Linked DNA regions of Arabidopsis thaliana. The protein of the gene in region 2 interacts with the protein of the main gene of each other region in a pairwise test. Each region holds a gene or a part of one and is shown on either strand. Other genes may lie near its edges.

Region 1 (4,755 bases), on a different chromosome or scaffold from region 2:
CCTTTGTAGGTAGCCTTCGACAATCTTCTCCATAAGTTGAGGTTGACCTCTCACAAAATCATTGCATGCAAATTGCATTACTTGTCCATGCTCAAATTTTCTAAAGCCCTATACGGTACGTTAGGTACACCAACATATAGCAACATTACAACATCACAAAATATTTTATACTTATTCTTGGCCAAAGAATCTACAAAACTTACAAATTTAAAAACGAATACATTTGAACTCGATCGAGATGTGAATAAAATGATCGTTATTTTCCATTGATCAATATCTAGAAAATATACTATGAAGTTATAGTTTTAATTTAACAGTAGCAATGACAAATTTTTCTTTTACAGAAGCCACCTCTCGTACAGCCTTGAAGACACCACTTGTTACAACTTTTATTAGTACATATTCCAAATTCGGGGTGATCGTTGCAACACAATGAATCTCCTTTGTTGGAAGACAAAATTGAATCTTCATTCATCACTTTTGTGGCTTCAATATCTGCAAAATAACATAGACATACATGCGTATAATCATATATACCACATATTCAAGATTTTGGTTTTAAAGAATAGTAATCGAAATGAAAAAAAAAAATGCTCAATACGGTGTTGATCTAATGAGACTAACCTGCAAGTAAAACGGAGAGAGCGAGGAAAGCGAAGAAAACAAATCTTGGATGGACCATTTTTTTTTTTCTAACGTACTAACTCTATAATTATTGTTTATTATATTACTTATGAGAAATGTAGACTTGTTAAGTTTGATATATATATAGGGTTTTTAATTGTTTGCTACTAAAGTTTTTTTCCGTTAATTTTCTTGCTAATAAAGGTAGGCATTGAATTCTATATTGAAGGCATATCAACAATTTTCTTAGTATCAGCAAGGAAATGATATGGTACTCAAAATAACATTGCAATTTGCAATGATGATGATACAATTGGTACATTTGTAGAAACAATTGAATTCATGTAAACAAAAATCCAGTAAACTACAAAACAGTTCAACGTTTTGTATCAGAAAATCACTTGAATGGATCCGATCGCAAGTCAATGATTTTTAATGATTAGTTTCCTTAGATTTATAAAGTTAACAAACATAAGTAATGCATGATTGGCTCATTGAAAACATGCATGATTTAAAAAGATTATGAAAGATTCTTAATCCAATTTATTTCAAAGGAAACAAATCTTGAATAAGCCATCTTTTTAACACTCTACGTAGTGTTTTATTAGTATCGTTATTTGACATAAGAACTGTAGAATTGTTTACGAATGAGTTTTTTTTGTTTGCTAATAAAGTTATTAAATTATATTGAACGTAAATATTAAACACTTTTTTTTTGTAACATCGATTATATTCCTAATATTGTTCTTGAACTACTATTTTAGTATCAATAAGATGATGATATGTTATTCATGGAAACATGCATTGCTGAATGATATTATTGGAGTACAATGGTAAACGAAAATCGAGTCAACTAAAACAGTCCAAAGGTGACTTGATGTCGTTCAAAATCTTAAAAGTTTGAAAGAAACCAATCAAAGAAATATGAAAAAAAATAATGTTTTCATCTATCAAACAAATTAGAATAATGTTTTCAAATAATTATTACATAAAATTATAATTACATCATGCACTCTTCTTTATCAATAAAAACATAACGGGGTCCGTATCGTCCCTATCACCAAGTTTGAAGTAGCAGTGATATAATAACGTCTTGTCCCATTTGATAATATGACTAATAGACAGTCTCCAAAAAAAATCTTAAAAGATAATTATAATTACATTTTTTGTATTTATCTTTTGGGTGAGAAAAAATAATAAATACAGGATGGGGTATTATTCTTTTATTCCTTTTCACATTGGAGAGTAGAAGGGACTGAAATTGGTGAATGCTTCAATGCAAAGTCTTGACAATATAAGTGACACAAAAAACAAATGTAAATACACTAAAAAAAGCTTCTATATCCCCATTTTAATGTGTATTAATATTATACATCTATATAGAATAAAGAAGAAAAAAGAAAAACCATGAACAAGTTGGTGGGGGTGACACAAACCATACCTCAAGGTAGGTGATATATCCATATGGAGAGATTTTTAGCTGTTCTTTTAAAGTTAGGACCACTTCTTCCTCAAAACTTCACAAAAATCTCTAACTTTGAGATAACACTAAATCCATCAACTTTACCTTCTTCATGATTAAGAAAAAAACATACATCTCTCAGTCTAGGACCATAGAGACCAGGACCGGGACCAATCATGTTGTTGTGTTGGATGAAACTCGGGTTTCGAGGTTAATTCTGTACAGATTTTGCTACATGACTAGGGGTGTAATCATGTAACCTTTGCAAAGGCACTAGATTCCATGATCTAAGAACTCAATGTTATTACGGTATTAAGACAGCTACTAGAAAACTAAAAGATGGGAGGATTCTTGTGGTTCTTGGGTTGGTCACGTTACTCCGAAAGAAGAGAAAGGGAGAGAGAGAGCCAAAGTCTTTGTCATCAATGAAGTTTGGTTTTTGATTGATAAAATTGGTCCCCCACTTTGGTATAAATTCCAGAACATACCCAGAGATAACAGAACCAATAAAAGAAAAAGTTATTTAGGCAAAAAGTGGTCACAGGATTCTTCAGGCGGGTTTGGTTCTTTTTTTCAAACTACAACTAGCTTTTACCCGTTAAGACAACATCTTCATCTCCCTCCTATTAAACACAACGACCTAACCATATTACAGCAGTAAGCTCTAGATACATATCCCTTCATTTTTTATACATCTTTTCATAGTCTAGCCTAAGAAACCCGGTAAACTAAGAAAGCACAAAACTTCTTCAGATTCTTGGAATGATGAGATGGGGAAGAAAGAAACCTGTTTCTTCTTCTTCTTCTTCCGGGTTGTCTCGTGCTCTTCCTGTTTCTTGGTTTTCAAAGTTAAGTGGTTCTTCTGACTTGAAACCTGCAAAAGAGAAGAAGCAAGATGAAAAAGCTAGCCAGAACATATCTGTAAAAACTTCCTTGAGTTCTACTACACGTCGAAGTGATATTCATGAGAACAGCAAAAGGTTTCAAAGAGTATCAGTAGAAAAGGAGAACTCTGCAACAAGATCAGCAGATAAAGAGTCGAATGAGAAGTTTGAAGAGATAATGAGCAGTGTGAGGAAGAAAGTAAGAGATTTCCAAAAAGAGACATGTGGTTTTCTGGAAGTGGAGGCAATGGATAGAGACAACGGAACTGTGATCCTGACGCCAAGAATTCAGGTGAACAGAGATAAACAGAGATGTGAGAGACGTGACCAAAGGCTTCTTGAACAAAAGCCAAAGAGATCAGAACAAGACGCGGGGGTCAAGGTGAAAAAACCAGCTAGAAGGACAGGTACAGGAGGTTACAGTAGAGAAGATTCCGTGATTCTTGGTCATACCATAACAAAACCGGCTCATCAGTGGGAAAAGCTCAAGGAAGTCAAACTAAGAGAAGTGAAGCTGAAGGCTGACCAACAGAGGAAATCTCTGTACCTAAAAAGGGAGCTAAACAGAATAGGAACAAAAGAAAACAACAAAGTTAGAGTTTTTTCACCAAGAGCATCTGAAAAATGCAGAGTTAAAGCTATTGAAGACTTGAAAAAGGCCAAACAGAGAGCACGGGAGCACGAGCTTCTGATAGAAACAGCAGATGGAGGAATGGAGAACGAAAGCTTTGCAGTAGTGAAATGCTCAAGTGATCCTCAGAAGGATTTTAGAGATTCAATGATTGAGATGATTATGGAGAATGGTATCAACCATCCAGAAGAACTCAAAGAGCTTCTGGTTTGTTATCTCAGACTCAATACAGATGAATATCATGACATGATCATCAGTGTGTTCCAGCAGGTGCATAATGATTTTAATTTTCATTAATTTTGGTGTAGAATAGTAACATATAGATTCATCAGTATGATTTGTGGATAGTTTAAGCTTTCTACGATGTAACTTCATGCTTCTTGGTAATACTAAAACTGATAACAATTCTATAAAATTGACAGAATAAGATTAATATAGTTTCTGGAAATTACCAATTTTTAGTCGATTCTTAGTCCTTCACCAGCTAAGAACTCATGGACAACTCCGTCAACTTCAGTCATGCTACATCCAGGCTTCTGTTTACTCTTTCTGCTCTCATGTTTCTTCTACCGTCTATAACCTTCTCCCACCTTCCATCTGAGGCATACAAATTTGACATCTGAGCATAACCTGAACTATCACGTAGATTCAATTCCAGTAACCGATTCGCTATACGCTCTGCTTGTTCCAATTGTCCAAACCTCTTACAGGCACCAAGAAGAGATTCTAGTAAAATGGAAGCCTCATCTGCTGGAATCTCGTTCACAAGTTCTTCTGCTTCCTCAATTTTTCCCATCCGACCAAGCAAATCCACCATACAACCATAGTGTTCAATAGTAGGTTCAACCCTGTAAACACTACTCATCATTTCAAAAAGTTTGCGAGCTTGGTCTAACATACCCACATGATTACAGGCCGACAGAACACCAATAAATGTGATACCATTTGGTTTAAAACCTTCATACACCATCTCCGAGAAGATCTCTAAAGCATCTTTTCCAAGACCGTGAACACTCAAATCCGAGATTATCGAGTTCCATGTACTGACATCTCTCTTTGAAGTAGCTCTAAACACTTCAAGAGCCTTGTCAATTTTCCCACACTTCGAATACATATCCACAAGAGCTGTAGCCAAAAACCCTTCAATCTCAATC
Region 2 (5,195 bases):
ACTCTGCATTGAAGAAGGGATTCTGGTCTAGACATCGAAATAACCGGTCTTCTTCAAGCATAGAGGTAAAGATCCATACACTGAATATTCAATCCTGATTTGCTAGAGAAATGAAACATTCCTGTAAATAACCAATAATACACACATTTCAGGGACTTAATCAGACATCTCCGCTATGATGAAACCCCTCCATCTGGATCAGAGGCATGCGGGTTATTTAGGAAAGCTTTGTATAAAACAGATATTCAGGTTCAGCTATAGCCTTTAGAGCTGTGTTTTAACTTTCTTTTTGGATATTTTGTGTGTTTCATTGTAACCTGTGGGGATAATTTTCAGTAATGAAACAAACTTGTCATTTTAGAAAAGATTTGAGAATTTGCCAACCATTTACAGAGAATGTTTAAAAAGTTGTGTAACGTTTCGTTGTTTACACAAGTTTCAGAGGAACTCAAAATCTGTTCCAATTCTTGTAACAAAATGAGGAAATTAGATCAAATCTTTTTCAGTTTGTTCACACTTAAAAGTATTGTTTATACCATCATGAAGATTATAAACAAAAACATTACAATATCGGCTTACCAAAGTGTACACAAAGCTCAATTTTCATATACAAATGTAAAGTCTAACACCTAAAGTTTTCACAAAATCTATCCTTTATATATGCCACAACAAATATTACAGATATACATATTTGTATAACCCCTATCTATAAAAATGCCAAGAGCGCATTTTCTTGCGCTTCAAGAATCATACTCCCCCAATCAACTGGCATTGCCAGTTCTTAAGCTTGTGAAAAGCTCAGGAATCTTTTAGACAACAAAGTCGTGTAATTGATGGGGATTAGAATATCTGCCATCTTGTTGGTTTCCAAGGCCAACGTAACGATTGTAATCATCAATACCAAACCCATGATAGTTCATCAAGCTGTCGTAATCTCCAGTAGTAGCACGGTCTGGTTTAGGATCTGCAAAGACTAGGTTTTGTTCTGCATCAGATGTATATGGGATGTTGTTGTTGTTGTTTCCCTGATTCTGTTGTTGCGAAGACGAAGAGTCTTCGTGTTTGAGCTGAGATGTTTCCTGCATTTTTTTGGTGTCTTGATTAGAGTTAGAGAGTAACTCTGCTGATTCTCCAAACTCTTCTTTATACATCTCTTCAATCATTGGTTTCCATAGTCGAACTCTCGCGTTAATAAACCAATTTGCAACCTAAATTGCCAAGAATCAGAATACCACTCATATAAAAGCAAGACCAAAGATTGAGCCAATAAGAACCTGGTTTTTCGATAGTCCTGTCTGCTTTGAAAGCATGATTTTCTCTGATTCTTTAGGATATCTACAAAAACGATTGAAATGGTTATCAATGAAGCAATGAGGAGCAGAAAGAAAGTGTCTTACAAACAACAAACTTACGGATGAAGGAAATGCTCAAAGAGCCAAGCTCGAAGTATAGAGACAGAGTTTTCAGGTAAGCCTCTTTGTGGTCTCCAAGCTGGTCTAACCATTCCAAGTTGTTGATGCAAAGCTCTCTGTTGTCTCAACCGTTGATCTAAGTACCTAAGACGCGGTATCCTCTCTCCTTGTTCATCAGAAGTCTCTCTCTCCCCAAGCTTCCCTCTGATCACCTGAATCTGTTCTTTTATCGCGTCGCGTAAACAGCGGAAATGGCGAGAGATTCTATTCAGAGCTACGGATGTGTAAGGCTTAGCTGCTCCAAGACCTGTTACCATCTCGAAAGACGATGCTAAAGCTTCCATTTGATGATGGTATTGGTTATACCTTTTATCTACCTGCAAAAATGTTTTCAAAACTCAAAACTCCAAAGTCTCTCTCTCACTTTAAAGTATTCAAATTTGATTTAGTCTTACCTCATCCACCATTGTTAAAAGCTTGCTCTTCTTGCTCTGTAGCTCCTGACGTTCTGAAGGAGACAACTCCTGCGATTGAGATTTATCATCTTCTGTAATGTTATCACTAGACCCATTGTGAAAGTCTTGACCTTTATCATTCTTCATCTTCTTATTCCCCAATTTCAAATCTTTCCTTACACTAACAACTTCATCAAGCAATTGTTGTGTTGGTTTAAGGTAACGAGATCTCAGTACACTACTCACAAACCCTGATGTCTCGTAACGGTAATTGTTGTAGAATCCAACACCATTATTACCATTGTTGTTGTAAACAGAGGAAGGTAAAATTTGATCAGAGTGATGCTGATGAACACTCAAGCTCTTCCCATTCTCATCAGACATAGTAGAAGGATTAAGATTATTGTAACTCAATTGGTTCGAAAGATTCTGGTAATGATACTGAAACGGAGAAACAGAGACAGCTGACTGGATCTGATTACCAAGACTTAAAGAAAGTCCTCCACCGTGAAAGCTTAGATCGTTACTTGACACCGTTACGTTTCCGTTGACGGCTACGTCGCTTGTTGGTGGGATAAATACCATCTCGTTGTTTCGAACATCACCGGAAACAATCTCGGAGAAAGATGCAGCAGAGGAAGAAGAAGCTTGTTGTTGTTGTTGTTGTTGTTCGTTGAGGTAAATGGATTCTTGGTAAAGAGATTGCATGCCGACACTATTAGGGTAATACACAGCCATTGGATAATAAATCGAAAGTGTTTTGTTGTTTAAGTGAGTTTCATCCGATTGATGTTTTGTCTGAAAAAAGAGAAAGAGAGAGAGAGAGACGTGTGAGTTTGAAACTGAAACTGGATAAATAAAAGAACAATTCTTTAAAGAGGTTAAAACATCTTAATCTCTATATACGCCGCAATTACAGATGAATTCAAGAAATGAAAAAAATATGAAATACTCAATTTAGGTCAAGAAGATATCAAAACCCTAGGTAAAGTTTCCACTTCAATTCAGTGACGCAAACAAAAACAGAGGATGATGTTTGAAATCATGAAAGATATAAAGTTAATTTTTTTTAAGTTCTGATGATTTCATACTTTTGTAAGAATTTAACAGAGACGAAGATGATGATAAAATTCGAAAAAGGAAATCTTTTTGTAAAAAGAGAAACAGAGTACAACAAGTCAATCATATAGCTTTGAATCAAGAAGCTACTAATAAGAACAATCGAATTATTATAGTTAAAGAAATGAAACCTGAGAAAGAGCTAGATGATAAACTATACAAAAGAGAAAGAGAGATTGTGGATGTGGCTGAATCAGGGAACAGAGAGATAAAAAGGGAGAAGAAGAAGAACTTCGAACAGTCGATGACAAAAAGAGAGAGAAAGAAAGAGAAGACACCCAATCCCAAGAGACGATTTTTATTAAATTCCGATACTATTTTAAAACTTTATTTGGCATTCACTAACAAAGAACAGAACCAAACCATCTTATCATTGGAACCTCGACAACAAACCCAGATTTTTTAATTAATGTTTAATAAAATATCAGTGTATCACTAACCTATGGAGAAATTTGACAATCTCTATTCTCTACCAGTAATTCTTTTTTGTTTGTTTTTCTATTCCAACCGAAGCTTCTATATTAAAATTAATAATTTTTTGTTGGTTTTTTTTCTGTGCCAACCATTTAGAGAATAACACGCGTGAGCGGAAATTTTCATATTTTTTTTCCTTTTCTCTGATAGGATTATTGTTAGATAATGGAGAATATTTATACAAATGCGACTTTTTATATGCATTTATATTTCAAGTTATCTGATAAAACAAAAGAATATTATTGGAACCAGAAGGAATACTGTGCAGTGTTGTCATTGACTTGACTTGGTGCTTATATTCAAATAAATATAATTAAAAATAAAGTATGTTTTTTAAAATGAAGAAAAGAGTTGAGTTTTCGTATTCTATGTTTTTATAAAGTTTAATTAATAGCTTGGACATAAATTCAAGCAACCGTTGAAATTTTTTACTATTAAAATTTTCCACCAAAGCTTTGTTAGATTAAATTAACTCAAGCAATCTCAAATTAGTTGTGGTTGTGATGATAAAATCATGGGTTAGTCTGAACCAACAGATGCTTTTATTAATTTCTTTACATAATTGCAGATCCCTGGTTATAAGCGAACGAGAAACATGTGTTACGTGACATGATACTTCATAACTAATCTATGATGTTTTGATGTATAATTGTTAAATTATTATAACGACGGAACTCTCTAAAAAGATTGTGATCAAAATTAAAATTAAACATCTTTTGAGGTCTCCTACTGTTTATACGTTATATACTTGTTTCTTCGCGTAATACATTGGACACACATACTCTTATTAAGTGACGTGCAAAAGAGGAAACTAATTAACTCCATTTTTTCAATATCTTCCTATTATTTACATATTAAAAATAAAGATATAAGTAGAATTGTCAACAAATCAATATATTGAATATAAAGTAATTAAAATTACTAAAGTATCCCTAGGCCTAGAGAATTTTGATTTGCCAGAAATGTTGCTTTGAGGAAGAAGTGTTGTGTCTGCTCAATTGCTTAATTGAGGGATTAAAGGACCTTAACAACCAGTTGGTGACTACCCAATTTCCTTACTTGGAACGAAAAAATCCAATTAGTTGACTAACAAATAAACATATTTTCTTAAATAATCAAGTGATTCATTTGACCTACATGAAGAAAATGTATTTATACGCAAAACAATAAAATGAAAAGAAAAGTTATGATGGGTCGATTCCATGTCCCAAAGGATCTAAGGAGGTTGTGTAATAAATAATAGAAAAAGTAGAATTCGAAAGAAGATGATGAAAAATGAAATAAATAAGGTAGCTGTGTCGGACGCGAAGTTGGTGAAAGTGGCCAAAAACGAAAGACTTGGACGCCAATTTGTTTCGTAGAGACGTTCCTTAACGGAACGAAGCTAACGGCTTTGTGTCCATCTTAATAAATGTTATTCTTATTTCAATTTCTGTATATTTCGTTTATTTCTTTTATTCTTTAATGTTTTTTTTTGTTTTTGGTTGAGTTTCGGTTTTGTCATAGATTGGAACAGCCGACACAAACCTTTCAAGGAGAATCAATGTGTTACAACAAATTCTTTTTTTATGAAATTTTATATATTTATGAGTAGATTATTTGTTTGTTTTTAAATGTACAACTGATAAACCCTACACACAGCTGGTTGAATATGGGAGTATATACAGTGGGAAAGTTTGAAAGGATCAAATATTTTTAACTTTCTAAAATAGGTTAAATGAATGTGGTTTTCTAA

What was found. The genes of interacting proteins can lie anywhere in the genome.
Region 1: the proteins of BLH3 (region 2) and OFP5 interact in a two-hybrid assay, tested with the Arabidopsis thaliana proteins (one large-scale study listed by BioGRID).

Annotation. Positions count from the first base shown.
Region 1 is NC_003075.7:10,334,601-10,339,355, forward strand, and holds OFP5 (ovate family protein 5), read left to right. Parts: upstream 1-1,965; 5' UTR 1,966-2,848; coding exon 2,849-3,898; 3' UTR 3,899-4,074; downstream 4,075-4,755. Other genes in the region: AT4G18823 (Defensin-like (DEFL) family protein), read right to left, coding at 311-477, 625-682; AT4G18840 (Pentatricopeptide repeat (PPR-like) superfamily protein), read right to left, coding at 4,119-4,755. UniProt on the Arabidopsis thaliana protein: Transcriptional repressor that regulates multiple aspects of plant growth and development through the regulation of BEL1-LIKE (BLH) and KNOX TALE (KNAT) homeodomain transcription factors. Required for embryo development.
Region 2 is NC_003070.9:28,299,286-28,304,480, forward strand, and holds BLH3 (BEL1-like homeodomain 3), read right to left. Parts: upstream 3,444-5,195; 5' UTR 3,118-3,443; exon of another isoform or gene 2,666-3,117; 5' UTR 2,606-2,665; coding exon 1,868-2,605; intron 1,790-1,867; coding exon 1,413-1,789; intron 1,336-1,412; coding exon 1,275-1,335; coding exon of another isoform or gene 1,236-1,274; exon of another isoform or gene 1,209-1,235; coding exon 810-1,208; 3' UTR 501-809; downstream 1-500. Other genes in the region: AT1G75400 (RING/U-box superfamily protein), read left to right, coding at 1-65, 153-179. UniProt on the Arabidopsis thaliana protein: Transcription factor that is responsive of the nuclear import of SHOOT MERISTEMLESS (STM).